Elephas maximus indicus: one gene and its partner. The main gene of each other region encodes a partner of the protein of the gene in region 2 in a complex. Links are inferred from orthologs where the notes say so. Each region holds a gene or a part of one and is shown on either strand. Other genes may lie near its edges. The genes, in order: HJURP and CENPA.

The links.
Region 1: the proteins of CENPA (region 2) and HJURP are in contact, whole or in part, in a crystal structure (PDB 3R45), measured with the Homo sapiens proteins. The link is inferred for Elephas maximus indicus from reciprocal best matches to the Homo sapiens genes CENPA and HJURP. Residues at the interface, in NP_001800.1 of Homo sapiens: Lys64, Leu65, Ser68, Arg69, Arg72, Asp83, Phe84, Asn85, Trp86, Gln87, Ala88, Gln89, Leu91, Leu92, Ala93, Glu96, Ala97, Ala100, Phe101, His104, Glu107, Asp108, Leu111, Leu112, Leu114, His115, Ile132, Glu136; in NP_060880.3 of Homo sapiens: Glu14, Asp15, Leu18, Lys21, Leu22, Ser25, Arg26, Arg28, Phe29, Arg32, Met33, Leu36, Lys39, Tyr40, Pro43, Phe44, Thr47, Pro48, Val49, Val50, Gln51, Met52, Ala53, Thr54, Leu55, Ile65, Trp66, Gly67.

Annotation. Positions count from the first base shown.
Region 1 is NC_064824.1:136,091,218-136,106,395, forward strand, and holds the start of HJURP (Holliday junction recognition protein), read right to left. Parts: upstream 7,853-15,178; 5' UTR 7,829-7,852; coding exon 7,733-7,828; intron 7,166-7,732; coding exon 7,099-7,165; intron 4,036-7,098; coding exon 3,980-4,035; intron 2,277-3,979; coding exon 2,213-2,276; intron 1-2,212. UniProt on the Homo sapiens protein: Centromeric protein that plays a central role in the incorporation and maintenance of histone H3-like variant CENPA at centromeres.
Region 2 is NC_064830.1:45,047,417-45,062,955, reverse strand, and holds CENPA (histone H3-like centromeric protein A), read right to left. Parts: upstream 6,248-15,539; 5' UTR 6,047-6,247; coding exon 5,959-6,046; intron 2,511-5,958; coding exon 2,401-2,510; intron 1,903-2,400; coding exon 1,825-1,902; intron 1,285-1,824; coding exon 1,150-1,284; 3' UTR 189-1,149; downstream 1-188. UniProt on the Homo sapiens protein: Histone H3-like nucleosomal protein that is specifically found in centromeric nucleosomes. Replaces conventional H3 in the nucleosome core of centromeric chromatin that serves as an assembly site for the inner kinetochore.

The DNA of each region.
Region 1 (15,178 bases), on a different chromosome or scaffold from region 2:
ATGGGCCCTCTGTGGCTGTTAGTGGTTACTACAGTAAAACCTGTGGAAGCCGGAACCCGTCCGTTTAAGGCGGAAACCTGTCAGAGAAGGAAAACTCAAATATTTTCTACTAATAGAGAGTGATAGAAAAGTGGTAAGACGGGGCAAGGACGAAAGGTAGGAGGGGACAGGAAAGCTGGACAAATGGAAATAGGAAATCCAAGATCAAGAAGGGGAGTGTTGACACGTTGCAGGACTGTCAACCAACGTCACAATGTTTATTAATTGTTTAATGAGAAACTAATTTGCTCTGTAAACCTTCACCTAAAGCGCACACACACACAAAAAGTGGTAAGACCACACCCTGTCAAAGGCGGGAAAACTTGTGAGACCCGGAAAAACAGGGCAGTCTCGTCAAATTCCAGCTCTTGCAGGTTTCACTGGAGCAACCCAGAACCTATCAGAACAGGAATATTCTCAGTGACAAAGATAAGAAAAAGCAGGTTTTATACCATCTCTCACTCTTTCAATCAACTCTGATTTGAGTAAAGTTGAGGCACCCTGGCCCAGTGCTGTCTGACAGAACTTCCTGTGATGATGGAAAGTTCTCTATCCGCTGTGTGATGAGGCAGCCAGTGAGGCTGAGGAATGGAATTTTAAATTAACTCAATTTTTGATTAATTTAAATAGGTGCATGTGGCTGGTGGTCGCCATATTGGACATTGCAGCTGGAAAGTATCAATTTCCAACTGTCTCAGGCAGTCCGGGAAATTCCAGGAACTGAGAATCGTGGAGCTCAGATCTGAATGAATGCCGGTAAACAAACATCTAGAAGTAAATATCTTTAACAGGTCTTTTTTCTAATTCTACTTTGAAAAACCATCGGTTCTCCTTATTTTCCAAACGGGAAGCCACTGTGGTATTTCACACAGAGAGGAGGCATGGTCCTGAGAGGGTGGCAGTGGGGAAGAGAGGCAGTGGATTTGAGACAGGAGGCAAAAGAAACAGGACAGTGATGTCTTGGATCCAGGGGAATGAAGGAGAGGCTGAGACACAGGACTGGATTTCCAGCTGATTCTACTGGGAAGACCATGGCGGAGGCTTGTTGGGTATGACTTATCCAAATGGCATATGCTGCAGGATCCAACCAGAGATGCTTACAGTAGTTAAGACACACCTAGACAAGGCTGGGCTGGAGACAAAGCCAGTAGAGAGAGGCTGATGCCATGGCCTCCCCAGAGAGGGGCTCAGACCAGCTCCTGAGAAAAAGCACCCTGCAAAGACGGGAGACAGGCCTGTAAGCGGGCTGAGAAGGAAGCATAGGAGAGGAAGGCGGAGACCCAGAGAACACAGCACCACTGAAGCTGGTGCCCCAGTGAGTGTCAAGGAGAAGTGTCGGATGCTACTGAGGGCAACGAGGATAAGAACCAAAGAATGCCAAACAGACTGGGCAGCACGGTGGTCAGGAACCTCACCAACACCACACTCAGGGACAGGGGCTGAGGCCAGATGCAGCCGGGTGAGGAGCCTGTGGGGCGGGAGAATGTTCCAAGCAGTGAACGCCATCACCCTTTAGGAAACCTGGCTGTGAGGGGGTAGAACAGAGAGAGGCAATTCAGATGGGACACGGGATGAGGAGACTGTCACGTTCTGTTTTACTGCCAGGCTGCCCCCAGGGCAGGGGAGAGTGGGCAGTGGACGGATTCCTGAGAAACCAGGCTGCGGCAGGGTCTAGGCAACACAACTGTTTGAGAGAACTGAGAGAAGGGGAAAGAAACCTCGATAAGAATGAGAAGGAAGGAAAGAGGGTTGCAGGGGCGGGCAGTTAGCGGTGGGAGGACTACCCCATAAAGGCAATTCTTAACTCTTATTAAAATTTTAACTTTTTATTTTCTAGGCAAAAAATTAAAAAAAAAAAAAAAAAAAAGGTAGGGAGTTATTCATTCATTCAAGAAATATCTGAGTCCTTTTATGTGTCAAGTACCGTGGATGAGACTGTGAGCAGGACACAGCTCCTTGTGCTCCACGGGCTTTACAAGCAGGTAAAAGGGCATGTAAGAATGTCTCAAGTTTTAAAAGCAAATCTCAATAAAAAATTAAGAACGAGGCACCAAGAATTTACAATCCCTTTTTTTTTCCACCTCAGCTTCACTGCAAACATTCCACTCACACGTACACCAAGGCACACGCACTCAAGTCAGGGTTCACCCACAGTGCGAGGGTGCTCACTGACCTTCAGACACAGCTCGCCCGGGGCTGTCCACCCAGCTGACCGGCGTCACAGGGGATCCCTCAACCTGCAGAAGAAAATGAAGACGTGCTCGTTTCGGTAATGAGATGCTACCAGGCTGCTGTAAAGTCTTAAGCCTACAATCTCTCCACAAGCAGACGTGAGGTTGGATATTCCACCAGCTTCTCTTCTCACACACCCCGCTGTAACAGGCCTCCATGCCCGACCAGGAGCCCCAGACGCCCCTCAGGAGAAGCAGCACTTTCGTCCTCTCCTTGTGCTGCTCAGCAAGTGAGCGATGGAGCTGGGAGGGTGAGAAGCAAAGACACCCGCGAAGGGCCTCTGCCCGCACACCCAAGCTAACCCTGGCCCACGCACATACAGCTGACAAGGGCTGCAGCATGCAGAGCCCAGGGGTCACCAGGCAGCATCTGGAAATATTCAAAAGGCTTCTAAGAGGCCTTCTCTGACATAAGGGTTAAGTCCCACTCCCTAAATGGGAATCAGCACTGTCACGGATTGAACTATGTCCCCCAGAAAAGGTTATCAATTTGGCTGGGCCATAATTTCCAGTATTCTGTGACTGTCCTCCCTTTTGTGATTGTAATTTTATGTTAACGAGGATTAAGGTGGGATTATAACACCCATGCTAAGGTCACCTCCCTGATCCAAGGTAAAGGGAGTTTCCTCTGGGTGTGGCCTGCACCTCCTTTTGTCTTATGAGAGATAAAAGGTTGAGACTACTTGGCACCTCCTCCCTGGAGGGGAGATGAGAGGGTAGAGTGGGTTAGAAGCTGGCAAAATGGACACGAAAAGAGAGTGGAGGGAGGGAGCAGTCTGTCTCATTAGGGGAAGAGTAACTTGGAGTATGTAGCAAGGTGTATATAAGTTTTTGTGTGAGAGACTGACTTGATTTGTAAATTTTCACTTAAAGCACAATAAAAATTAAAAAAAAAAAAAGAGAGATGAAAGGAAGCAGAGAGTGGGGTACCTCATACCATCAATAAAGCAGTGCCGGGAGCAGAGCATGTCCTTTGGACCTGGGGTCCTTGTGTGGAGAAGCTCCTAGTCCAGGGGAAGGTTAACAAGAAGGCCAACAGAGAAAGCCTTCCCCTTGAGCTGACGCCCTGAATTTGGACTTTCAGCCTACTTTACTGTGGAGAAATAAATTTCTGCTTGTTAAAGCAACCCACTTGTGGTATTTCTGTTATAGTAGCACTAGATGACTCGGAAAGGCATAGGCAGCGTGACCCTGTGCATATGGAGCCAGGGGGCATGTAACCAACACGCATGGAGCAGTTAGTTGTCCCCATCAGGAGCTCACATCATAGCTGGTCAGCCGTCTGCCCTCGAGGAGGCCATGACACTCTGCTCCCTAGAGCTTGAGCTACACCAGTGGCCCCGCTAATAATCATAATGAATGTCAGAAGTGGGATCCAATTAACCCGACCGGCCTATGGCAGAGCAAACACCAGGTTACATAGTGGGCTTTAAAACTATACAGGTCCTCCTTGTACTCAACAAGCAGCAGAAGAAATGCTTCTTAGTAAGTCATTGAAAACAGGAAAAAAAAAGAAAAAATAGAGGAGTCAAGGTGAGGATACCACCATGAAACAAACTGGAGGCCCTGCACAGAGTTCTGGAAGCTTCCGGTGCAGAGTAGCGGGGGTTGCAGCTCATGCCACATTCACATCAACATTCACACCACGGCTCACGTTGCATTCGCATCAACAGCAAGGCACGTTGGTGATCAGACTTGACATTGAATACCTGGATTTGTCCTTTGCTTCTTTCCTGTATCAGTCCTCCACCCCACAGTCTCAATCCTTAAGAAAAAAAATAAAAATCACCATGTCAGTAATCCTAAATGCTGAATTTCTATTCAACCTGCATTGAAAGGAAACCAGTGATGAGCAAAAGAAAGGGATCTTAAAACCAAGCCTGACTGCTGACACTCTGTTGCTGTTCATCCTTGTGAGCTTGAACTTTTTTTTTTTTTTTAATGAAGCCTGGATAAAAATTTGTCATTAATGAAAATCTCTCCTATCTAATAGACAGCAACTCTTCAAACTACATCACTGACCCCCAAAGTTAAATGAAAACAAGAAACACATGCCGGGTACTGCCCTCAAAATATATAGAGGACAATCTGTATGTGTGTGTTACACACACACACACAATACGGCAATGTATATGTACTGTATCTACAGAGTAGGGGCTTTTGGAGGACCATCTCTATATGTACAGAGCAAGCCCTAAGCACAGGGTAAACAGTGAGTTTTGGAATCAGGCACACATAGTCCCGCCACTCAGTTGCTAGCAGAACCTGGGCAATATACTTAATCTCTCCTTAAACCCCCATTTGTTCCCAGGTGAGTTCAAGTTACTGAGGAGGGATGATGTGGCTGCTGAGGCTGGAGATGCTTGTTAATGCTACCAGTGGCAGCAAACACTCATAGTGCTTGCCACATCCCAGCTCTAAGTGCTCCCCAAGTGTGTCAATAATTGGCATGAGGCTAATTTCTAACATGTGAAACCTTCTCATATCCCTGTACTTCTCCATCCCTGACACCAGCCACTCACATGGTGTGTTTTCTCTCTCTGCCCCTGGTGGGTTCTGTCATTCACTAGAATAACTCACAGAACTCATGGAGTCTACCTACACTAAAGAGAAAAACCAAACCTGTGGAGCTGTTTCCAACTCACAGTGACCCTACAGGACAGAGTAGAACTGCCCCACAGGGTTTCCAAGGCTGTAAATCTTTATGGAAGCAGACTGCCACATTTTTCTTCCGTAGAGTAGCTGGTGGGTTCTTTTGGTTAGCAGCCAAGCCCTAACCACTGTCCCACCAGGGCTCCTTCTACCTACACATATAATTAGAAAGGACACCTGGTAAGAGATACATCTGGCAAGGTCTGGGACGAGCCACACAAACCTTGCCATGCACAGCATGCTTTCTACTGGCTGGTGCTGTGAGGTGGGGTGCTGATTGGGCCATCCCCTCCCCTCACCCTCCCTACACTCAGATGCCAATGTGGATGTTCTCCCCACTACAGGATGCCCCCAGAGAGGATCTCCAATGTTCAGGGTCCCTTAGTAATTGGGGCCTCAATGAATACGCATGAAGGTGTCTTAGTGTATAGTTACCCTCAATCCAATCAATGATCATGCATGACTGACTGTACCATGCTCCTCCTTCCTGTGGCTTAGTGTGGGGGCGTGTGGCATGTGTAGTCCCTACTCAGTTGCACATGTTTCAGGGTTGCTGGTCTATTTTAGAAAACAAAAGGGCGCCCTGACTGCTTGAGAATTTCAGCTATTTTTTGAAACCAGAAAAACCAAAACCCACTGCTGTCGGTTGATTCCGACTCACAGCAACGCTACACCAGAGAGCAGAACTGCCTCATAGGGTTTCCAAGGAACAGCTGGTGGATTTCAACTTAGATCTTCTGGTTAGCAGCCACACTCTTAACCACTGCGTGCCACCAGGGAGTCACCAGGGCCTCCCTGTTTTCTGAAACGAGTGACAAATGGCCAATTCTAGTCCTTTGACCCACACCAAGTATACTCCTTTTTTTAGTGTTCACAGCAACCCACTTCCACACACTCTTTGGCGCTCCTAACATCTTCAGAGACAAGCACTCACCGAGTTCACTGTACGTACGCAAGCGAGGTGTGGACAGATCAGCTAAAAAGCCACAGAGTTAGGACTTCGCTTAAGGAGCAGGTCTTATGAACCGTTTTGTGCCTGCTTGTTTAACGTGCAGCAGGATCTGAGATCCGCTTTCATCATCATTACCTTTCTTTTATTATCAATGCCCATGCAAGCAGCAGTCAAGAAAGATTTGCATTGGGCAAATCTCCTGCAAAAGACCTCTTTAAGGTGTTAAAAAGCAACGATGTCACTTGAGGACTAAGGTGCACCTGACCCAAGCCATGGTGTTTTCAATCGCCTCATATGCATGTGAAAGCTGGACAATGAATAAGGAAAACAGAAGAAGAATTGACGCCTCTGAATTATGGTGTTGGCAAGGAATACTGAATATACCATGGACCGCCAGAAGTCTGTCTCAGAAGAAGTATAGCCAGAGAGCTCCTTGGAAGTGAGGATGATGAGACTTTGTCTCGCTTGCTTGGATTCAGGAAGAAATCAGTCCGTGGAGAAGCACATCATGCTTGGTAAAGTAGAGGGTCAGCAAAAGAGAAGAGGAACCTCAAGTAGGGTTGACACAGTGGCTGAAGCAATGGGCTCAAACATAGTAACGATTGCGAGGATGGTGCAGGACTGGGCAGTGTTTTGTTCTGTTGTACATAGGGTCGCTATGAGTCGGAAGTGACTCAACGGCACCTAACGACAACATCTTTGGTGGTGAGTTAGTAGTAAGGAGTAGTGAGAAGAGAGGAACTGACCTCATTCACAGCAGAGAATCAACGGGCAGCGGGCAATGCACTGACTTAGATCAGTTTGCAACACCATCGCTAAACAGAATGGCTCCTTTCCCATACTGGGATTAAGTTTCAAGTTATCAGAACCTCAAGGAGAACAGTTAATATTCAAAGTCAAACAAGACAAATGACAGTCAACGTAAGTGCTGGAGGGCACAGGTACTGTCCTAAGGGCTTCACCAGGACCCTAACTGTTACAATACCTATTTTACAGATGAGGAAACTGAGCCTCAGCCACGCTAAGCAACTCTCCCACGATGACAGGAGCATAAGTGTGAGCTGTGATGCCAACCCAGGCAGGTGCATTCTTAACCATCTATGTCTTCAGGAATTCATTTCTAGTCAGATGAACAAGGTTTATTTTCATAAAAGCACGGCCAGGATTTCAAAACTCTACAAGACGCTATTCACATTTTAAACCGAAATGAGAGTTAACTCCTACCTTGGGGCGTCTGGTAGGTCAGTGTGGCCATCTCCACCAGCACCGTGTCCTCGAAGGGATGGTTGTACTGCAGGGGACGGGGCGTCCCACTAGGTCAGACCTCCAGGCAACCTCTCCGCCCACCCCCAGTTAGTTCACAGTTACTGAATAGCTGGGCGGTTTTTCTACATCCCCTCAGTCCACATCCCTGCCTCCCTGCACCCTCCCCGCACCCCGTTCCCGGCCCGGCTCCCCCCTCTCAGCACCCTCCCTGCACCCGGTTCCCGGCCTGGCTCCCCCCTCTCCGCACCCTCCCCGCACCCGGTTCCCGGCCCGGGTCCCCCCTCTCCGCACCCTCCCCGCACCCCGTTCCCGGCCCGGCTCCCCCCTCTCCGCACCCTCCCTGCACCCGGTTCCCGGCCTGGCTCCCCCCTCTCCGCACCCTCCCTGCACCCGGTTCCCGGCCCGGCTCCCCCCTCTCCGCACCCTCCCTGCACCCGGTCCCGGACCTGCCTTCCCCCTTCGCATAGCCGGGTCCCGTCTCCCCGCGCCCTCCCTGCACCCAGGTCCCTGCACCCCAGCCCCCGACTCCCCCACCCTAGTCCCGCTAGCCTTGCGCCTGGCCACCCCTTCCAGCCGGAGCTGAGGGCCGTACCTTCTCTATCAGCTGCTGCATGCGCCTCTGGAAGCGATGGCGGCTGTCCTGGAGCTTCCGCGTCAGCTCGGCCTCCTCGCAGCCCTCGGCCGCCATGGCGCACAGGCTGCCGCCGCGAGTCCGGGCCGCCCGGAGAGCCGCTCCCGCCGCCGTTCAAATACGCTGCTCCCGCCCTCCTGCCATTCTCTGGCTTCCTATTGGCTGGTGCTGTGAGGCGGGCGCTGATTGGGCCTTTCAAACGTATACACGCGACTTCCTGCCGGCCAATCCGCCCCTGAGTCCCCGGCCCCGCCCCATCCGGTGGCGCGGGATTATAGGAAAGGCACGGAGGTGGGTGCGGGCGGGGGAGTGCCGCGGGGGAGCTCTTCCTGCCGTTCTGCGCCTATTAATTAACAATTCAACGGCAGCTCTTTGAGCTATGTATTATTAACCCATAGAGCCCGGGTGGTGCCTGCAGTTGCAGTTGGCTGCTAATCTGAAGTTTGGAGGTTCGAGCTGACTCAGTGGCTCAGTGAAAGAAAGGTCACGAACCAAGAAACCCCTATGGAGCAGTTATACTCTACCACATGGGGTCGCCATGAGATGGAATCCGCTCTGTCAACGACTAGCCTGGTGATAAATCTGTTCTGCCTCCTCTCTGACATCCAGGTTCTGGTGCCTTTCTCTGCTACCAGAGCAGTCTTTTTCAGTCTTTCTCTTTTAGATGGGAATGTCTTGGTGGTTCTTTTCTGATAACGCATCTTCAGCATAGATTATTTAAAACAACACAGCACCACACACCTGTTGGCATCAAGTCAATTCCAACTCACAGCGACCCTGCAGGACAGAGAGGAACTGCACCAGTTTCCAAGGAGTGTCTGGGGGATTCGAGCTATCGACCTTTTGGTTAGCAGCCATAGCTCTTAACCACTATGCCACCAGGGTTTCCAAAACAACACAGAGAAAGTAAAAATTACAGCCCCCCTCTAGTTTCCCACCTGAGCTAGTAATTTCATTAAGATTGGTTCAACCTTTCTCTATGCTTATATAAGCATATCCGACTCACAGCGACCCTGTAGGGCAGAGAAGAGCTGCCCCGTAGGGTTTCCAAGAAGCACCTGGTGGATTCGAACTGGTGACCTTTTGGTTAGTGGCTGTAGCTCTTAATCACTATGCCACCAGGGTTACGTGCTGTAGATTTGGCTCTGGCGACCCTATGATAACAGAACAAAATGTTGCAAGGTTTTCTTTTGCTTCTCCTCTAAGCCTTGGACAGCCTTCTCTTCTGTGACCCTCTACCCACGTAATAGCACCCCATTTCAAAACTTGCCTCTCCTAGGACTTGGTCCCCGGTCCTGGGACACTGCTGGGGTTTCTGCTCCAGGGCATTCCTGGCTGGCTTCACTGACTATCCCAGGAATCTGCCTCTGTTCCACGGGCTCATGGGCTGCTTCGGTAGAGAGAGTTCTCAAGGTAAAATTGAAGCAGGCCGTCATGAAAAGGTTATTAACCATCCCATAATAGTTGTTTTTCAAAAAAGTCTACTCTTGCTCCGTTTTTGTTACAATTTTCTTGTTTATCCTGGCAGGAGACCAAAGCACAGGCACACTGACTCTGAACCTACCCGCTTTCTGACCTTCCTGGGGTGGCAAGAGCGAGCCGTTGTCATTTTTTCAGGGCTGTGGGCAGTATTTTTAGAGCCATGTTCAAAAACCCATTCACTAAAATTTTGCGGACTGTGCGTGCATCACAAGACTGAAGATCCTCCCTTCACTGTTCATGCATATGAACGCCACTCCGCATAAAAGGAGCAAATCTGCCCTGATTCAGGGAGCTGGCAGCCTTAGGTCAGAGACCCTGCGTGCCTCCCAGTTTGCAAACTGGGTAAACCTTTCTGCTGGGAGCCAGGCTGCAAGGGCGGCCCCTCTGCACCCACTGCCCCCAGCATAAACATCAAAGAATCCCTGAAAAGTCAGGAGGAGCCAGGCTGCAAGGGCAGCCCCTCTGCACCCACTGCCCCCAGCATAAACATCAAAGAATCCCTGAAAAGTCAGGAGGAGCCAGGCTGCAAGGGCAGCCCCTCTGCACCCACTGCCCCCAGCATAAACATTGAAGAATTCCTGAAAAGTCAGGAAGAGCCAGGCTGCAAGGGCGGCCCCTCTGCACCCACTGCCCCTAGCATAAACATCGAAGAATTCCTGAAAAGTCAGGAATATCTCTGTCATCTGTGTTATGTTTCTATTTCATTTTCAGCCTGTGTATAGCAGAATGTATAAGCATAAAATTCCATTATAGATTTAGGGACCTTTGGACGGGGGGCGTCCTACTCATAATCCCCTGGTGAAATCTCGGGTAGGGACAGCCCGTGTGTTACTTGGGGATCAACATGAAGTTGTCTTAGGGGAAAAACAAATAGCTCGACTATGGAAAATAAGAATAGGATGGTGAAATCCTGGTATTTACCAAGGCCCTTTTGTGATTAAACCACCACCCACACATGACCCCATAAAAGTGGAAAAACAAAAGGCAGTGAGTTCTCTCAGCCAATTTCTCAGCCAATTACAGGTCAACCTTCTCGTCTACCCCGCTCACTGCTGCTCTTGACTGGTCTTTGGGTATAGAGATTGGGCTAATTGTCCTTGGCATAATCGTGGACAATATGACGTAACCCAAAGTGGCTGGACTTCAAAAATTTGGCCACCCTGGACAAAATGGACAAAGCCTATGTGGCAATGGTTTTTGCAAAAAGATTAATTATTATAAAAACTGTGGAAGGAATTGCAAGATTAAGCATAAAGTGTAAAGCAGTATGAAGTCAATTGTTACTTTGTGTAAAAATATATCAACAAAATATTCTCTTCAATTAAACAAAAATTCATTGTACTTGTGTGTGTATGCGGAACTGTACTATGTGTCACTTGGAAAATTATGTCTCTGGGAAATGATGTTTATGATTATATCTTGTACTGCCCCTTTATTGATCATGCGATGTTATGCTTTTGTAAGCTTATGATATAAAAGACCATGTAAAAAATAAAGAGCAGAAGGGCTTCTTTTTCTGCAGAAATGAAAATATAAGACACACTACCTCTCATTCTTTTTTTCGCCGAACTCTACCCCTCCTCTGGTAACCCTGTTCATTGCTGAGGCTGGCCCCCGGCACCTTTCTGTTCTTACAACCCTGCGTCTGGCTGACTTCAATTCGCTAGTCTGCTTGACAAAAACCTGTTAGTTGACAGCTTCGAAATCTTTAACTGAGAAAAAAAAAGACCCCCAAAATTCTGCTTTGCCAGTCCCCCCTTGAGCCAGCCTTAGCATGCATTGTCTCTGTCTGGCCAGCCCCTGGCCAAAGTGGCAGCCCAGCTGAGGAGGGAGGAACCCTGCATCACGCTCCTAATTTGAGGTCATTTTCCTACAACCTCCATCCACCGGTAACAGCCTAAGCATGTGACCTCAGGAACCCAGAACTGCTACAAAACTGCTTCCTCACCACTCCCCATCTCCATGAAACAGGGAAGCATTACAACTCAGCTCCTTCCTTGGCAGGGCAAGTGGCATGGGAAGTGGCTGGGTGCAGCCCCTGGGGGGCTCACAGGCTTCCTTAGGCAGTAGAGATGCAGGATCCCTTGCACAGCACCCTCTGCTGGCCTTGTTGGAACTTTCACCCTCAAAGATCTGTTCACAATTATGTAGACAGGAAATAATTTTCATCGGATTTTTTTTATAGCTACTCTCATAAAATGTGCCTGAATTTTGCTCAAAACAAACAAACAAATTCATTGCCGTCGAGTTGATTCCAACTCATAGAGTTCCTATGGGACAGAGCAGAACGGCCCCACAGGGTTTCCACGGAGCGCCTGGTGGAATCCAAATTGTTGACCTCGATGGGAATTTATTCTGCATAGAGTTGACATGTAAATGATATTGTGATGGAAAGGTGTGGAAATGTCATCATCAGTCTCTGGTTGGTTTTGGGTGGTCCCAGCGTTGACATAGAAACGACTATGTATCAGCAAAAACGTCTGAATGAACTATGTTAGCCCCACTTGTTAGGCTGCTAAGTAAAGGTTTTGCTGTCTTCTATTGCTCTGAGGCTGATGCAGAGAAGCTGTGAGATTGCTGGCAAAGAGCTGACTTTCCATGAGGTGTCAGCCAAAGCTCACAAAAGCAGAGCTGTTTGAAAATTCTTGTTTTTCTTTTCTCCTTCTCATTGGTGTTGCTGTCTTCAGAGTTACAGCCCTCGACCCATGTTACAGCTCTTTTAGGAGGTTCTTTGACTTCCCTCTCTCTGCTTCATCTCTCTTCTCTCGTTTTTCTCCTCTCTACTTCCTCTTGCTTACTGTCTTCTTGTTTCTTTTTGTCTTTGTGGGGTTGGCTGCATATATACCCACCACCCACACAACTCCTTGTCAATTTCAAGGCGGGGGCACAAACTGACCAATCAATCATGGGTAGGCCATAGACACTTCATTTGCATAGTAGACTATAGTCACCTCATTTACATACTCCATATTCACTTGATTTGCCTAGTCTATTGACCAGTCCCTGCAAGGTGCATACCAATCATAAGGCAGACAGACCACAGCCCAGGAACAGACAAAAAGTATCAAACCAAGTTGTTTACTGCTTACCCAGGAAATGTAACAAATCCTCTGGGGTAGAAAACTAGCACAAAGGTAACTTCTCAGGGCTTAGGGGGAAGATCTCTCAAGCTGCTTTCCCAAAAAACCAAGGAAAAGGCTGCATAGAGGAATGGATTTCACCACAGACACCAAAGGCAAAAAACATAAAAAAATATTTTTAAGTCTGTGAATATATAAAACTGAAAAATTTTATGAGAAAAAATACCTATGACAACTTTAATGGGATAACAATAGAACAGAAAAAGTAGTTCAATTATATATTTCAGAGCTAATAATATAAACACGTAAAGAGGAACATGAAAACCCCAATAGAGAAGAGGGCAAAGTTCATGAGTCAGCAATCAACAAAAGATGAAATACAAAACATACGAAATGTTCCACCTCTAAATCAAAAGTCATGAATCACAATTTTAAAACTATCAATTGTTGTTGTTGTGTGCCGTTGAGTCGATTCTGACTCATTGCGGCGTGTAGGACACAGTAGAACTGCCCTGTAGGTTTCCCAAGGATCAGCTGGTAGATTCAAACCGCTGACTTTTGGTTAGCAGCCTGAGCTCTTCACCACTGTGTCACCTAGAACAAGGAATATTGGTTAGGGTGTGAAGAAGTGAATATTCTCTTATACTTTGGGAAAGCATTAGTTTGTAAAATATTTATGGAGGTCAATTTGGTGGTACGTGTAAAACAGTCTTCAGACGTGACCATTCTTTGATTTAGTAAGTCTATTTTTTGAAATCAATCCTAAGTAAGTAAGAACCTCAGCAAGGTTTTAGCTGTGGGATCTTTAATGAAACACATTTTATAAAGTCCAATACTAGAAGGGTGGTTAAATAAATTGTGATAGAAATGTATTTATGTTTCCATTAACCATAATTTTGAAAAACTACTACTGGCATCTGAAATATATGGGTGGTACAAAGGGTTAATGCGCTCAGCTGTTAACCGAAAAGTTGGAGGTTAAGTTCACCCAGCGGTGCCTCGGAAGAAAGGCCTGAGAATCTACTAAAAAAATCAGCCAGTTCTACTCTGACACACATGGTGTTATTGTGAGTTGGAATCGACTAGACATCAACTGGTAAAGTGTATATGATTTTTTTGTGTATAAAAGGGGGTTGTAAGTATATGTATTATACATCTGCATCTGAAAAATACACATCATATATTTTGAAAATTCGAGTATGCATTTATCAAATTGTTTCCAAGTTTATCTCTTGATGATAGTATTATGGATTGTTTTTGATATTAGTTTTCCGTAGTTGCATTTTCTAGAATGAGCATGTGTTGTGTAATTAAGAACATGTATAATTTTCACCTTGCATGCAGAGACCTGTTTGATTCCCCGCCAATGCCTGTCATGTGTAGCCCCCACCTGTGTGTCAGCGGAGGCTTGTTTGTTGCTATAAAACTGAACAGGTTTCATTGACTTCCAGACTAAGACAGGTTAGGGAGAAGGCCTGGTGATCTGCTTCTGAAAATCATCCAGTGAGAACCCTATGGATCACACCATTTCGATCCACAACCCATCATGGGGATGGCGCAGGGCCAGGTAGTGTTCCGTTCAGGTGTGCATGGGGTCATCATGAGTTGGGGGCTGACTCAACAGCAGCTAATAACGATAACAACATTAAAGCAAAAAACCAAAACTTGCCATCAAGTTGATTCAGACTTATAGTGACCCTATAGGACAGAGTAAAATTGCCCCATAGGGTTTCCAAGGAGTGTATGGTGGATTCAAACAGCCATCCTTTTGGTTAGCAGCTGAGCACTTAACCACTGCATCACCAGGGCTCCAACAACAACATTGTTGTTGTAGTTGTGTGCTGTCAAGTTTATTCTGACTCATAGTGACCCTGTAGGACAGAGCACTGCCTCATAGGGTTTTCAAGGAGCGGCTGGTGATTTCAAACGGCTGACTTTTTAGTTAGCAGCTGAGCTCTTAGCTACTGTGCCGCCAGGGCTCCTATTAACAACGTTACTCATGTAATAAAAACACAGCAAAACCAATCATATGTTTCTACCAGGGCTTTGAACTGGTTCAAACCAGTTCGGTCATGATTGACGAAGTAAGACTGGAACAGATCTGAATTTTTAAAATTTGGGTAATCCAGAATGGGAAAAGTTATAGGTTTCAGCCCTGGAATGGGAAACTCAAAAGAGGTGTAGTGAGCCCTTTCGGGAGCCTGATGTGTGAGGCTGCATTACTGGCAGGACTGTGGAGAGAGACAGACATTCAAAGCGCCATCTTTGAGCAGGGCACCACTGTTTCCAACTCTGCTTGAAATCCAATGGGCAAGAGATTTGGTTGCTATGCAACACATATGCTGCCTCTGTTTTCTAAGACGGAGATTAAGTTTCCAACAGGGCTTCAACCAGTAAATTTTCCAGCTCTGATTATCATTTCAGTTCACCCAAATTTTGAAAATTTGGGTCTGTTCCAGTTTCAATTCCTTAGTTAGCCATGACTGAACCGGGGAAAACCAGTTCAAAGCCCTGGTTTTCAACTTGGCCTTCAAAATTAGAGACCATTTATCCAAATAAGACACACATGGCTTCAAATATTCTACAGGTGCTGTCACACTGCTGCACAACATATTATCTTAATGATGTCTCACCTTCCAGCTTTCACCCAGAAATGTTTTTCCTGGGAAAGTAGGGCTACAGCTCTCGTTGGTCGTGTTTTGCCTCAGTTTCATGTGGTGAGAAATTGCTTTTTATTCTTCACCTTTGGCTTTCTGTAATACCGATACACTTTTAGGGTCATGATTAATGTGTTTTAATGGGCTATCCATTTTAAAAATCAATGAAAATAATTTACCTTAAAAAT
Region 2 (15,539 bases):
AAATATACATATATATACAATATAATTGGTTAATCTTTATTTTAAATTTTTTCACTAAAGAACTATATTTATTATCTCTCTACAAAGAAGTTACAAATATATCTATAAAACAATTGAAAAAGCATCTTAAAATACTGGTTATAAAGCATAAATTATTATACATCTTTTGTGATTTAAAGAAGGACATGCTAAATTCTACAAGTTAGAATTTCTGAATAATTTCAATAGGAACTTACTGGAAAGAACTAGAACATCAAACCTTAAACGTTTTTTATGTCAGCCACAATTAAAGTTTTGAAAAGCTATAAACTTGTTGACAGGACAGTCCACTCACTAAGTTGATGCTGCCACTAAAGATGAGATTAACCTGAAGGGTACAGTTTATATGCCAGACATGCCAGGCCCTTCTATGCAAATGACTGAAGTGGTCTTCTTGTATTTTTTCCCTTAAGTTTCAAATAAAAGTAAATATACATATGGTAAAAGCCGTAAATAATACAGAAAGGTCTAAAATAATAAGTAAATCTCCTTTTCTCCTAGAATCCGGCAAATCCACTTTTCCAAATCATGAAAATGGTCATTTGAATAATTCACAAACTGAGGTCATCCTTGGAGTCTCTCATCTAAAAATAATTCTCAGGCCTCTGGGACTACGTTGAGTGCCTCACATATTACCTCTGTTACAGAGGAAACCATGTAGTCTTCACCTTCTTAAAAAAAAAAAAAAAAGCCATACAGTCATACTGCCCCAGAGACAGCCCCTCAGGCTCCATGGATCTGGCCACAGCTCCAGAGAGTCCCTGGTATTTCTGAAATTAAGAAAAAATTCTCATAATAAAAATGAGGTATCTGGTCCTTGTAAAAAGGAGAGGCTTTACTCTGCCAGAGATTCAGGTTGTCCTAGTCATTACTTAATAGAAAAACATCTTTATTTAACATTGTACAAAAAGGCATGAGCCAGAGTTCCAAGCAGTTAAAACCAACTGCAGACTTTTCTAGAGAAGAGGCAAGATAGCGCAGGACTAAGGATGAAGAAGGGAAATTCCTTTGGAGAAACTCCCACCCAAGATGAGAAGCTGGATGTTTTCTCTCCAAAGTGCACTCGCCCTTTGGGTGGGCAGGAAAGGCTTACAGATACAGTGGTGCAGCTCAGCCGAGTCCTTCCTGAATGCCTCGGATCCTCCTGGCCAGTTGCACATCCTTTGGATAAAGAGTAACGCGGCCGGCATGTAAGGAGAGGAGATATGCATCCTCAAAGAGGTGAACTAGAAATGCTTCTGCCGCCTGAGAATAGAAAGAGAAAGGCTAACACAGATGAGGGGGTACGGACTGCTTTTTTTCTTCAGGACCTGCTAACTTAGTCTCTGAGGGCTCAAAGACTGTAAGAAAGGTTATTCACAGAATGAGACTAAACTGTGCCTGGGAGTTTTGCTGCCATCAAACAAGGATCCAGCTTCCAAAATCTTGGGTGTTAACTTCTTGCTCTTTTCAAGGGGACAAGATTCAGCTTGTGACAATCTAGTCAGCCATGTCCTGATCAAAATTTGTTGCCATCAAGGCCATCCTGACTCACAGTGACTCTACAGGACAGAAGAGAAATGCCTCATAGGGTTTCCAAGGCTGTAATCTTCATGGAAGCAGGCTGCCACATCTTTCTCTCACAGAGCGGCTGGTGGGTTTCAATCACCAACCTTTCAGTTAGCAGCCAAGCACTTTAACCACTGTGCCACCAGGGCTCCTTATGTCCTGGTAAGCATGTGGAATTCAAGAAGTCCTCCTTTCCCACACCCACCCCTCACCCAACTGTGCCTTGCCCTTTCTTACCTCTTGCAGGGCCAACAGGGCCTGGGCTTGCCAATTGAAGTCCACACCACGAGTGAAAAAAGCACATACTTCTCTTGCCTGCGAAGGAGTTGGGATAGGGACGAGTGGAGAAGGGGAAAGGGAGAGGAGTAGAGCGTAAAAGAGATTCAAAGGAAGACGACTCTCTCCAAGAGTTTCCAATGAATTCTCATTTTCATTATTCCTTCCTGGCAGGACCTAACTCAGTAGCAGTGACTACAGGAACTGATATGTCTCCCATTGGTGGTGGGGAGGGAGATGAGGACGTCATCTCTCAGGGTAGGGAAAGAAACCAAAAGGTGGGTAGATGAAAGAATTTCTATTTATATAATCAAAGAGCCCAGTTTCAAAGATACTGGGGGTTAGAAATTAATTCCATAAAGAATTAGAAGGTAATTTTGGAGGGCTCATGTTTTCAGAAGATGAAGAGTATCCCCTACCAGATTAGAAAAGAGGTCCCTCAACATTCAGGCAGGAGATAGTAAGCTCCTGGATACCTGGGAAATCTAAAGAAAGTAGGGTGGCATAGGGGTTGGCAGACAGTTCCCTGGAGCTCACCAGGAGGCCGAAGGGCCTCTTCCTTAGCAATAGGTCTGTGCTCTTCTGAAGCTTTCGGATCTCCTTCAAAACCCGAGGTCTCCACTGGCCACGCCGACGAGAGGAAGCGCCTGGGCAAAAGAGTTGGGTCATAAAAGTCCAGTGGAAAATAAGTAGTGCCTCACAGCCTGGCTGAGACAGGGAAGCTGTGAAATCATTAGACAGTGCTATGCTCCACAACAGCAGAGGTTTTTGTCTATTTTATTCTCTGCTATTATCCCCAGTACCTAGGAAACAACAGATAGGCGCCAAACGAATATTTGCTAAGTGAATGCATCAATGATCCTTTGAGGTTTATCTCAAATGCCAACTCTCCCATGAAACCTTTCCAAAATCCTGATCCCCTCCAAACTGATGAGTAGTCTCCCTCCTCTGGGTCCTACAAGACTGTGCATCTCTTAAGCCTTACCCACTTAGATTGGAAACTCAGTTATTTTTAGTTTTCTATTGAGCTGGAAGGAATCTGAGAGAGTGTCTAGTACAATTTCCTTGTCTTGGTTATTCTGAGGCCCAGAGAGATGAAGATACTTGGTCAAGGCTCATTGGTGGCTGAGTTGGGACCTCAGAAGTGGCACGGCTCAGTGCCAGTACACTGAGTCACAGTCTTTGGTCAAATCCTGGTTCCAGCCAGAAAAAAAAAAAAAACTTTAAAATCATCCCCCAAAGTAGAAATCATAAAATCCAAATTCTCTGACCAACTATATTGACACTAGGAATTAGAAACACAAGAATATGAGAAAATAATTCTTCTAAATAACATGTTAAAGAGGAAATCTAACTGAAATTAGACAATTTAGAAATGAACAACAATAAAAAGTCTATACCTCAAAACCTATGAGATACAGTGAAAGTATTACTAGAGAAAAACATGTGATCTGAAAATATACCTATTACAAAACAAGAACATTAAATAGTGGAGCTAAGCATTCAACTCATGTGTTACAAAGAGAACATTAGAGCAAAAGAAGTATTAAAGGTAATGCAACATAAATGAAAAAGAATAAACAAAAAATATAGGGGAGATGAGAGGGCATAGGGGGCCAGAAGCTACACGAACGGACACAAGGACAGAAAGTGGAGGGAAGAACTGTGCTATCTCAACAGAGGGAAAGCAATTAGGAGTGTATGGCAAGATGTATGTAAATTTTTGTATGAGACTGACCTGATTTGTAAACTTCCACTTAAAGCACAATAAAAATTAATTAAAAAAAAAAGTAGTACAGTTGCTCAATAAATAAAATCAATGACCAATAAAATGGACAAATCTCGGATAAGTTTAAAACTTTGCATAAAAAAATAAAAAAAATACAATCTACAGAAACTAACATCTTGAAGAACAAAATTAACTTCTGAAATGTTGTTTAAGGTCCAGTCAAGAAAAGAGAACCCACAAATAGTTCAATAGAAGGGTTTTAAAACGGCAAACTAATCATAAAGTTGTCAGAAGAGCTGAAGAGCAAGTGGGGGAAGGCAAGGCAATCCAGAGATGGCTTGTGCTGGGCAGTGGGTGGGGGCAGCGGTGGTTCAGTGGGAGAGTTCTCACATTCCACACAGGAGACCTGGGTTCAATTCCCAGCCAGTGGACCTCATGGCAGCCACCATCCATCTGAGGCTTGCGTGTTGCTATGATGCTAGACAGGTTTCAATGGAGCTTCCAGACTGTGACTGAGTAAGAAGAAAAGCCTGACGATCTACTGCTGAAAGTCAGCTAATTACAGTCAGATCCCAGACGGATGATAGGATGGCAAAGGAACAGGCAGCATTTCGTTCTACTGTGCGTGGGGTTACCATGAGTTGGGAGTTGAGCCAATGGCTGGCAGTGGAGATTTTATCCCTGGTTAGGGAATGTGGACCAAAGAAACAGAGCAGTGTCCAGGTGACTAGTAACATTTAGGAGAAAGAAGGTGGCCCCAGACCCAGGAGATAAACAACTGGCATCCACCCCTCCCCTGCACCAGTCAGCCATCCAGTGCCTGGAGGCCGCCTTTAGTAAACAGGTAAGGGCAGTCACAGAAAATGTAAAGATGGACACGACTAAAACTCATCAAACAACTTAAGAAAGCCAACAGCATGAAAGGAACCAAGCTCAGCAAACAAAATAACCAATACCAGAAGCATCTCAGTTATGGAGGAAAAAATACAAGGAGCTTGAATTCCAAGCACAGGTAGAAAGGGTAACAGAAAGGCTCTGAGAAGGTGAGAGGAGGATCTGACCAAGGGCCCGTGCAGAAGTGTTCAGTGCCCATTTGAGAAAAAACTTTTAGTCTGGAGTGGAAGGATGCTTCTACATAAGAAAGCAACAGATAATATCATACTTAATAATATTCCTGTTAAAATCAGGAACGAAGATAGCCAAAGCACTACTCTTATTTCGATATTAGCCTCAGGGCCTCGCTAATACAATAAGAAAACATAAATAAAAACACATAGAACTTAAAAAGGAATATAAAAGTCATTATTTGTAGACAATATAATGGTCTACTCAAAAATTTCAATTAAAGCAACTAAAAGACTATTAGGATGAACAAGAGAATTCAGCAAGGTGGCTGGATGCAAAGGTTATGTTTTAGGAAAGAAAAACCCCAATCACAACTGCAGCCTCTCTATATAACCTATAATACACTCATTTTTCACCCTGCCCTTAGCTATAAGCTAAACAGTTGCTATGAGTTGGAATCCACTCGACGGCATCAGGTTTGGATTTTTTTTTGGCTATAGAACAAGAGTTAGAAGATAAGTAAAGCAGTTGCTGCCACCCATCCACAGGACAGAAACTGAGGACCACAACTCGGTCCTCCTTCCCAGGGACACAACTTATGGAAGGGAACAGAGTGAGAGCTCTTGGAGTTAGCGGGCTTGGCTCAGCGCCAACACTGCCACTCACTGAAGAAAACAACCCTGGAAAGATCCCTTCTAAGAGCAGGATTGCGTTTGAAATTGTTACTGAAAGCCGCCAATACTTACGCAATTTTAAAAAGCACAAACACAGATTTTTAAAAATCCCGTATCTCCTGGAACAAGCTGGGTGACTTTGCTCAAGTCATCGGGCCTCAGTTTTCTCATCGGTACAATAGGGACAATATACAGTTGAGATAATGTACCTAAAGAGCTTAGCACAATGCCTTGTTAGTTAGTGGTTAAAACGAAACTCAAAACAGTTGCCGTGGAGTTAGTTGATTCAGGCTGATGGCAACCCCATGAATGACCGATTTTGGGACAGTAGATCACCAGGCCTTTCTTCCGAGCTGTTAGGGGTAAGGGCTCAATAAACAATAAAGAGAATGCAGTCCTTTCCTTGTCCAGCCCCTCGGCCGCTCCCGGGACCCCTGCCCGATGGCAGGGCCGCTCGGCCCCTTGCGGAGAAAGGCCACTGGGCCGGGAGGCGGGCGACACCGGCTCTACCGCAGCTCCAGCCCGGCACGCGAGTGCCCTTCCCTGTCTGTGACGCGGACCGGCCGTGCCTGCCTCACAGACGGGCTGCAAGTCGGCTCGGAGGGAAAGGGGCCGCGGCCCGGTTACCTGAGGGCCGCCGCGGGGCCGGGGGCGTCGGGCTCGGGCTGCGCCTCCGCGGGGTTTCCGGCTTGCGGCGCCTGCGGCGCGGGCCCATGGCTGGGCCGGAGGGGTCGGCGCTCGGCCCCGAGCCAAGCGTGCGGCCCCACTCCACGGGCTTCGGGGGCGAAAGGCTGGCGTCCGAGAGCCCAGGGCCGCGTGGGTCCGAGAAGCTGTCGCTCGGAGGGTAGACAACGCTGAATCCCCGTTCAAAACGTTCGCTGCGGCTACTTCACTACCGGCGTTTTTTAAACCCAAATTCAGCTACTCCCAGTGGCTGACTCTGGAACGCCCATGGCGTAGAAGGCTGCGGGGTGGACCAATGAGAACACAGGCCGGCGGGAACGCAGCGGGGCGGTGATAGGAGGAGGGCCGGGATCGACGGTGAAACCGACCAACCGACACTTGGCGAAGTGAAAGAAGGCGGGAATTTCTCCTGCCGCGGCTCGTTCGTGAGGGTGTTCTCTGAGCAGTCAGATCGCTCGTTCAGTGTGACCGCTGGTCAAAGCCCCAAACCGAACTCACTGCCGTGGAGTCGGTTCAGACTCGTAGCCACCCCATAGGGTTTCCAAGGCTGTAAATCTGTAAAAAGCAGTTGGCCACATCTTTCTCCCACAGAGCCGCTGGTGGTTTCAAACCGCCAACCGTTCAGTTGGCAGTGAATCGCCTTAATACTGTGCCACCAGGGCTTCGATGCTCAAACAGAGCAAGCTCAATTTGAAAAATGCGTTTGTAGAACGCGTTTCTCTAAAAAAAAATTACTTTCCTTAGACATTTTATGTTTGGCCCTATCAACCCTGTAAATTAGCATTTGAAGATGAGGAAAGTGAGGTCCACAGGGAGTACGCAGTGACGTCACTGGGAGCAGGGTTGAGGGGTGGGAAGTGCTGACTCTACCAGGTGACACTGCCGGAGAAGGTGACACCAAAATGACTGTCTATAAAATTTTTGCGCAGTGTTTCAGCAGAAATTTATTATTTTATTTAAAAAATCCCTGTAGTTATAACAACAAAAACTTTTTTGTAAGCCCAGCTTATATGTATCAATATATCTACAAGGCTGAAACTCCATGCTAATTTACTTTCTGAACGTGCAAACGCACTCTTGAAGCCCCGGTGGCTCAGTGGTTAAGTGTTTGGCTGCTAACCAACAGGTTGGAAGTTCGAATCCACCAGCCACTCCTTGGAAACCCTATGGCTCAGTTCTACTCTGTCCTGTAGGATCATTATGAGTCAGAATCCACTCAAGAGTAATGGGTTTGGTTTGGGGTTAATGCACTCCGGTCAGAGCTGTCATTGTTATCCAATTATGATGACGCTTGGAATCACGTAGTTTTGTCTATACCGTGCAACAAGGATGTGCTGTTGTTTTCATTGTTGCCAGTGTTTTTATAGTCGTCGATTTTGTCAAATTTTCTGATATTTTAGCTACAATATTGTGGTAATTAGTATTTGTGAACCTATATCAAAACATTTTTTGAGAATGAAGTAGTAACTAAAGGAAAAGAAGTAGTGATATACAGAATTACGATTTACAAGTAGCATGAGTACAAAAACATTACTGTGGATTCTGTATGGTCTGGTACAGGATGAGGTCCATGCAGGGTGAGGGGTGACACTATGAGTTACTGCACTGGGTGACACTAACCCACGTAATGCACTCTTGTTCTTTTAAGAATAGTCCTTATCCCTGATCCATTAGAAAAGCTCAATAAAGGCAGCTGCCATGCCTATAACTACTGGGGAAGCTCCCTCTACAGAGGATGCCTTCTCATGGGAATTGACATCCATGGCACCCAGCAAGTAAGAAGCATGAGGAATTCCCCAGTCTGAGGCAGCAGCACAGTATCCCTCACAGTGAGGCAGAGGGAGCTAATCACTGCTGGGCTCAAAAGGCATTCCCTAGCCACCCGATGTAGATGTTCCCCAGATTTTACTTTTTAAGGAAACCTGTGAGAAAAGTACTGCATATCTTTGCTTAAGAAGATTCTATTTAAATGTTATAAAATGTAAAAGCTATGGAATAAAAAGAGAGAAGGGCTTTTTAAAAAAAAATTTTGGCCAAAGCCAAAGTCCTTGGTGCAGAGGGGAGACACAATGAGTTACCACACTAGCTGACACCAACCCTAGTGACCCCACTGGGATATGACAATTCCATGTTGTGCCTGTGACTCTTTCGTGAACACCCTCTAAATATGACTCAGAAGTCGTTTCACTGCATAAGCTTTATTGACTATTAGGGCCCAGGGGACAACCAGGATCACCAGGCTTCTGGCCATGAGTTTCGGGCGGGGCAGGCCTCATCGCTATTCTTGGATCACACTTTTGACTTAATGACTTCTTCTAATTTCCTTGGCTCCATCTTGTCCTGTTAGGGGATAATATGAATTCAGTTCATGTCTTAGAAAAAAAGGGGATTTAATTTTCTACACTTTGCTTTCTTGCATTTTCTAAATGATCCACACTGAGCTTGTACTATAATCAGGAAAAATATTAATTAAAAAATCAGTGATTTCAATTATGCACATGTTACAGTGTTTAAGAGTGTGGTCTTTTGAAGTAAGGGAAGTCAGACCTGCCCCTAGGTGTGAAGGCAAGTTACTGAATTTCTCTAAGCTTCAGTTTTCTCATCTGTAAATGGGGATAATAAGAGTCATCTAGAGGTATTTGAGAGTGTGAAACAGAATAATGCGTAAGAAAAAAATTAAAGCAGTCAGCAAGCACTGAAGTGGTGATGCAAACCTTTGCTGAAGGTTTGAATTGTGATGAAGTGTTGACAAGAAGGAAGAACAAGCATTTGCTAAAGCTATTATCATGAAAATGATGAGGGATATGACACCGCGCCATGAAGAGGGAATTGGGGGAAACTCTTGGGTGGAGGGTATTGAGGTTGAGGGTATTTGGGAGTCTTCCTCAAGAAGGTAGAGCAGAATCATGGTGATTGGGAGGGATTTGGGAAGGTGGGACTGAGGGGACGGAGGAATGGTGTGTCAAACAAAGATCACAGCCTGAGAAGAGGCAAACCAGCGGAGGTCATTTGGAGAGCAAAGGTTACCCTGTTTGGCTAGATGTAGGGATGGGCGATTAGTGACCTCATCAGAAGAAGGTGGATGGGGACTAGAGGGTGAGGGTGTGGGGGTTGATGGAACCTGTGTAATCTCAGGAAAGTCACTGTTACTTTGCTGAGCCACAGATTCGTTATGCATTTTTCTTTTTTTTTAATTAGGTTGCTAAGTCAGATCTAACATTACTTGTTCTATGACTACACAATTTCTCTGACAGGACAGTGGGGAAGACGGGAAAGGACATTAGGGTACAATATCTAAAACTCAGAAATTTAATTCTGCCCTCTCAGCTAGAGTACAAGCTGCCCACTAATTAAGTAAAACATTTCTCAGACACCATACGACCTCTGGAAACCCTGGTGGTGTGGTGGCTAAGTGCTGCAGCTGCTAACCAAAAGGTTGGCAGTTCACATCCACAGGCGCTCCTTGAAAACTCTATGGGGCAGTTCTACTCTGCCCTATATGGTTGCTATGAGTCAGAATCTACTCAATGGCAATGGGTTTGGTTTTTTGGTTTATCCCCTCTCCCCCAGCTGTGTGGCTGAAGACAGCAGGGGGAGAATTGAAAGAGTGGAGAGGAGGACCAGCTAGTGGTAATGCACTCTTATAAATTCTCTTAGCTAAGGAAAGTGAATTTTTATTAGCCCTAGATGGGGCAAGTGGTTTGCGATTGGTTGCTAACAGAAAGGTTGGCTGTTCAAACCCACCCAGGGACTCTGAGGAAGAAAAAGCCTGGGGAATCCGTTTCTGTAAAGATTACCAAAACCAAACTAAATCAGTGGCTGTCGAGTCGATTCCGACTCATAACGACCCTATAGGACAGAGTAGGGTTTCCAAGGCTGTGATCTTTTGAGCCACTGACCTTTCCATTATCAGCTGAGGCTTAACCACTGCACCCTCAGGGCTCTTTCCATAAAGATTATGGCCTAGAAAACCCTATGGAACAGTTCTGCTTTGTAACACATGGAGTTCCCATGAGTCAGGGGCCTCCTGGATGGCAGCAAACAACAACGACACAGAGCTGAACTGTCCAGGATGGAAGGCACTAGCCACATGTGGCTCTTGAGCACTTGAAATGTGGTTGCTCAATCTGAAGTGATGTAAGTGTGAAATACATACTGAGTTTTGAACACTTAGTACAAAAAGTTAATACCAAATATCTTATTATTAATTTGTTATATCGCTTACATGTTGAAACAATAATATCTTAGATACCCAAAACCCAAACCCAACCAGTCATTGCTGTCAAGTGGATTCCAACTCACAGCCACCCTATAGAACAGAGCAGAACTGCCCCATAGGGTTTCCAAGGCTGTAAATCTTAATGGAAGCAGACTGCCACATCTTTCTCCTACAGAGCAGCTGGTGGCTTCTAATCACGGACTTTTCGGTTAGCAGCTGAGCACTTTAACCACTGCACCACCAGGGGTCCTTAACATCTTAGATATATTGCATTAAATAAAATATATTAAAATTAATTTTATTTGTATCTTTTTACTTTTCTAATGTGCCTACTCTGTAACATACGGGATCGACGTGAGTAGGGCCCAACTCTAGGGCAGCTAACAAGTATAAATTTAAGATTACAGCAGTGGCTTACATTGTATTTCTATTGGACAACACTGACATAGAACGTATCACTTTTGTCTGCACAATTTTCATGATTCACTTAACAGACAATTATTGAGCATCTATTATGTGCCAGGCACTGATATAGGGGGTGGGGATAATGCAGCAAATTGGACAGACACGGTCCTTGCCCTCATAATGCTTATGTTCTGGTGGGAGGGGGAAAGCATAATAAATAAACTAATGAAAAAATTATTACATATTATGAAAATAAACTCAGTGATTGGATAGAGTAACTTGGGGTAGGGGTAGTGGTCTACTCTAGATAGGTGGCCATGGAAAGTCTCTGTGAAGGTGAGATTCGAGCTGAAGTCTAATGTATAAGAAGGAGCCAGCAAGTGAAAGAAGAAGTGGGGGGAGGGGGGATGCACCAGGCAGAGGGAACTACAAGTGGAAAGATAAGAGTTTAGCATGTTCCCAGAAACGGAAAGGTGGCCAGGGAGAGGAGAGTGGGACTTTAGGTCAGGGTTGTTGTTATTGTTAGCTGCCACCAAACTGGCCCCAGGCTCATTGTAATCCCATGCACAAAGGGATTGGATGGTTGTGATCCATAGGGTTTTCATGGCTGATTTTCAGAAGTAGATTGCTAGGCCTTTTTTCCTAGTCTATCTTAGTCTGGAAGCTTCACTGAGACTGGTTCAGAATCATAGCAACATGTAAGCGGTAGCTGCACTTGAGGAGCACTGGTCAGGAATCAAGCCAGGCATGGAGACCCATTGCCATTGCCCTTAAGTCAATTCCGACTCATAATGCCGCTATAGGACAGATTAGAACTGGCCCATAGGGTTTCTAAGACTGTGGTCTTTATGGAAGCTGACTGTCACATCTTTCTCCTGCGGAGCAGCTGGTGGGTTCAAACCACCAACCATTAAGTTATCAGCAGAGCAATTGACCACTGCACCGCCAAGGCTCCTTGAACCTGGCATGAAACCAAACCCGTACCTGTTGCCATGGAATCGATTCCGACTCATAGCAACCCTTTAGAACAGAGCAGAGCTGCCCCATAGGGTTTCCAAGAAGCAGCTGGTGGATTTGAACTGGCAACATTTTGGTTAGCAGCCGAGCTCTTAATCACTGCACCACCAGGGGCCCTGAACTTGGCATGGAAGGTGAGAATTCTACCACGGAACCACCCTGGCTTCTTAAGGTCTGGGTAAGGAGACTGAATTTTATTCTAATTGCACTGGGAAGCACTAAGTGATTTTAGGCAGGGGAGTTGACATGATCTTGTTCACATTTAAAAGATGGCTCAGGCTGCCGGGTAGAAAGCAAATGGGTGGAATAGGAAGAGACTCCAATGAAGCAGGAGTTGTCCAGGCCTGAGCTCACGGAGGCTGGGACAGGGTGATGGCAGTAACCTAGCTCCCCTCCCCAAAAAAAAGGGTGATGGCAGTGGAGGAGGGCAAAGATGGTCTTGAGATACATTCTGGAAGTGAGCCCATAGCACTCGCCAATGATACGGATGGGGGAAGAAGCAAGGATGACTCCTGGGTTTTTGACTCACATAAGTAGATGTTGGAAACACTGGTGGCGTAGGGGTTAAGAGCTACGGCTGCTAACCAAAAGGTCAGCAGTTCAAATCCACTAGGCACTCCTTGGAAACTGTATGGGGCAGTTCTACTCTGTACTATAGGGTTGCTGTGACTTGGAATCGACTCAACAGCAATGGGTTTGGGTTTTTTTTTTTTTTTGAGTAGATGTTCTGTAACCATTTAGTGAGGTAGAGATGGCCGGGAGAGGAACCAATTGAAGGGGAAATCAAGAGTATTGGGGCATGTTATGTTTAAGATGCGCATTATATAGCTGTCTAAGTGGAGATGTCAGATAGGTAGTTGGATATAAGCCTGGAGCTCAGGGGAGAGTTTGGGGCTTGAAGACATAAATTTGGGAATCATTAGCACGTAATGGTTTTTAAAATCATAGCATTAGATGAGATTATCTAGGGAGAAAGGGACGCTCAATATTTAGAGGTTTGTTGGAGAAGGAAACCAGGAATATATAGTGTCACAGAAGTCAGGAAAGTGTTTCAAGAACAAAGGAGTGGCCAATTGTATCAAATGCTGCTGTTGAGAGGTCAAGAAGGATGAACTCAGAATATCAGCCTTTGGATTTGCTTCACAGAGGTCATTGGTGACCTTGATAAGAGCAGATTAAGTGGACGAGTGCAGATGGAAACCAGATTGGAGTGGAGCTGAGGAAATAGAGGCTTGAAGGAAGACAATTCTTTCAAGAACTTTTTCTGTGAAAAACAGAGAAATGGGAGATGTAGAGCCCAAGGAAAGACTGGCCTTTAATAGGTAAAGGAAGGTAGAGAGACTAAAGATCCACATACAGGTCTGTTTGTGGGCTTAGTGGGGGTGAATTGAAGGAGGGCTGCTTGTTTTTGTTTTCTCCAGAAAGTAGGAATATTTTTTATAGCACACTTATAAAACTTTAAGAGTCAGAACAGGCTTGAGAGAGCTTTGTGGCATTGGAAACTAGGTTTCAGAAGGCTTGGGGTATAATTCCAGCTCTGTCACTTAGCAGCTGGCTACCAGTGGAAACTTGAACAAGATGCTTTACCTCTCTAGGTCTCAGTTCCTTATTGCGAAATAGTGATAATGGTGCATGCCTTATAGTATCATTAAAAGTTTGAAAGCACTTCATAAAACTAAAACATGGTTTGGAAATGTAACCCCTTCATTTATAATTGAGGAAATCTCAGTCCATACTCTTGGTATGCCTTTCTTTTAAGTCCACATACCTAGGCAGAGTGAAATTGTTTCCTCTCTCCTCCAATTTAGATTTCCAATCTGCTGGAGGACCAAAACCAAACCCGTTGCCATCAAGTCGATTCCGACTCATACTGACCCTAAAGAACAGAGTAGAACTGCCCCGTAGGGTTTCCAAGGAGAGCCTGGTGGACTCAAACTACTGACGTTTTGGTTAGCAGCCGTAGCTCTTAACCATTAAGCCACAAGGGTTTCCTCCTAGAGGACAGGGTCCCTAATTTTAATTTCCCTTTAAATAGGGTCCTGTACTCAATGCTGCCAACTGTCTGGATGTGGTCCAGAAGAGGTCCTCAGTAACCCAGAGTGAGGAGGCAAGAGGCCAAACACAACATTGTTGTTGTTAGTTACAGTCGAGTCGATTCTGACTCATAACGACCCCATATGTGCAAAGTAGAACTGTTCCATAGGGTTTTCAAGCCTGTGACCTTTCGGCAGCAGATCACTAGGCCTGTCTTCCAAGGTTCCTCTGGGTGGGTTTGAACTGCCAAACTTTCAGCTAGCAGTTGAGTGCTTAACATTTGCATCACCCAAGGACTCCTACACACAACATATACATCTTAATTTGAGACATACACAAGGGAAAACGTTGTAGAGTTGGCTCAGCTTACTTTCATGGCTGAAGAAAACTCATCATCCCTGGGGCGCATCATTTGACTGGAAAGAGGCATCTAGAATTATAAGTGGAATGACATTCAGGTTTGACACATCCGTTAAAAGCTTACTATATCTCTGGTCCTGGGTATCAAATGGAAACTTCTATAGGGGCAAAACTTAGGCTTCTCATTCTTTTCAGTATTCCCAGTGACTCACCTGTGGTAATGATTTGAATAAATGAATGAATAATGAATTGCATCTTATCTCATTGTGGGGCCAGTCCCCATTCGGGATTAGATCTTATTTTTTCACTTTGTCTCTGTGTGCAAGTATTTAATATCTGGCAGTGACTCTTACCATAGGTTTAGCTGAATCCCCTGGTTCCGGACATCCAAGGAGGAGGACACACAAGGAGAAAAGAAAGAGAAAAAGAGAGACAGAGAGAAAAAAACATGTTTAGTTCAGAATTTTGCACTAATCAGTGAACAGCAAGTTTTCTTAAGAGATCTAAGACTTCATTGACTAAAACGGTATCTTAGCACCACTTCCTCCATTGACAAATGACTTATTTCTTAATTTGTAAGCCCTCACTTATCCATGGATAAATATATACATAAACCAAAAAAAAAACAAACCCAGTGCTGTCGAGTCGATTCCCACTCATAGCGACCCTACATAGTTATTTTATATAATATATGTATCACATTAAAAAAATTTTTTTTATTATAGTAATATACTTGTATTAAAATAGGTATTGATGTATTTATACATACATACCTTATACATCAATGGGTGGTCTTTTGTATTTTGAATGAAATGTTATTAACAATGATGTTCTGTATTTTCCCAGCTTCCATACTGGTGCTTAATATTTTGGTAACCAAGGCCTTATAAAGAGCACACTTTTATAAAGTTAGAAACACAGGTGCTTACCAAGGAGGCTAGTTGGAAGTCCCAGATACAAATTTTCAGGTTCTTTTTGTATATTGTGGGTTAGTGAGTATTACCACTTTGTATCTCATGTCTGGATAAGATTCTGGGTCTTGAGAGTAGGGACTTTGTTGTATCTCATAAGTCTTTTTATCCCTAGTGCTCCCCATGGTACATAGAAGGCCCTCCATCAATGTATGTTCAATGAATGGATGGCTGAACAAACAGTTCTCTTGGTTCTTGAGCCAAATGAAGTGCAGCGCTTGGGTCCCCATCTAAATCTTGGCATCTCTAAACTAAGAAATCTGTGAAATGAATGCACGTTTATGGATGGACTTAAGGTCAATTTATGATAACTATGATACTCAAGTGGGAACCAATATATAGCATTATTACTAAAAATTAAAATTCACAGTAGTCTTTGTACAAAATAGGGCATGGTATACAGAGGAAAAAGTGAGGAGGAACTTGGAACCAACTCAGATACAGTCAAGCTTCTCACTTCCATGCCCACGGCAGATAGTGTGTGGTGAGCCCCAGTCCTAGAGGCGAAATAGAACTTG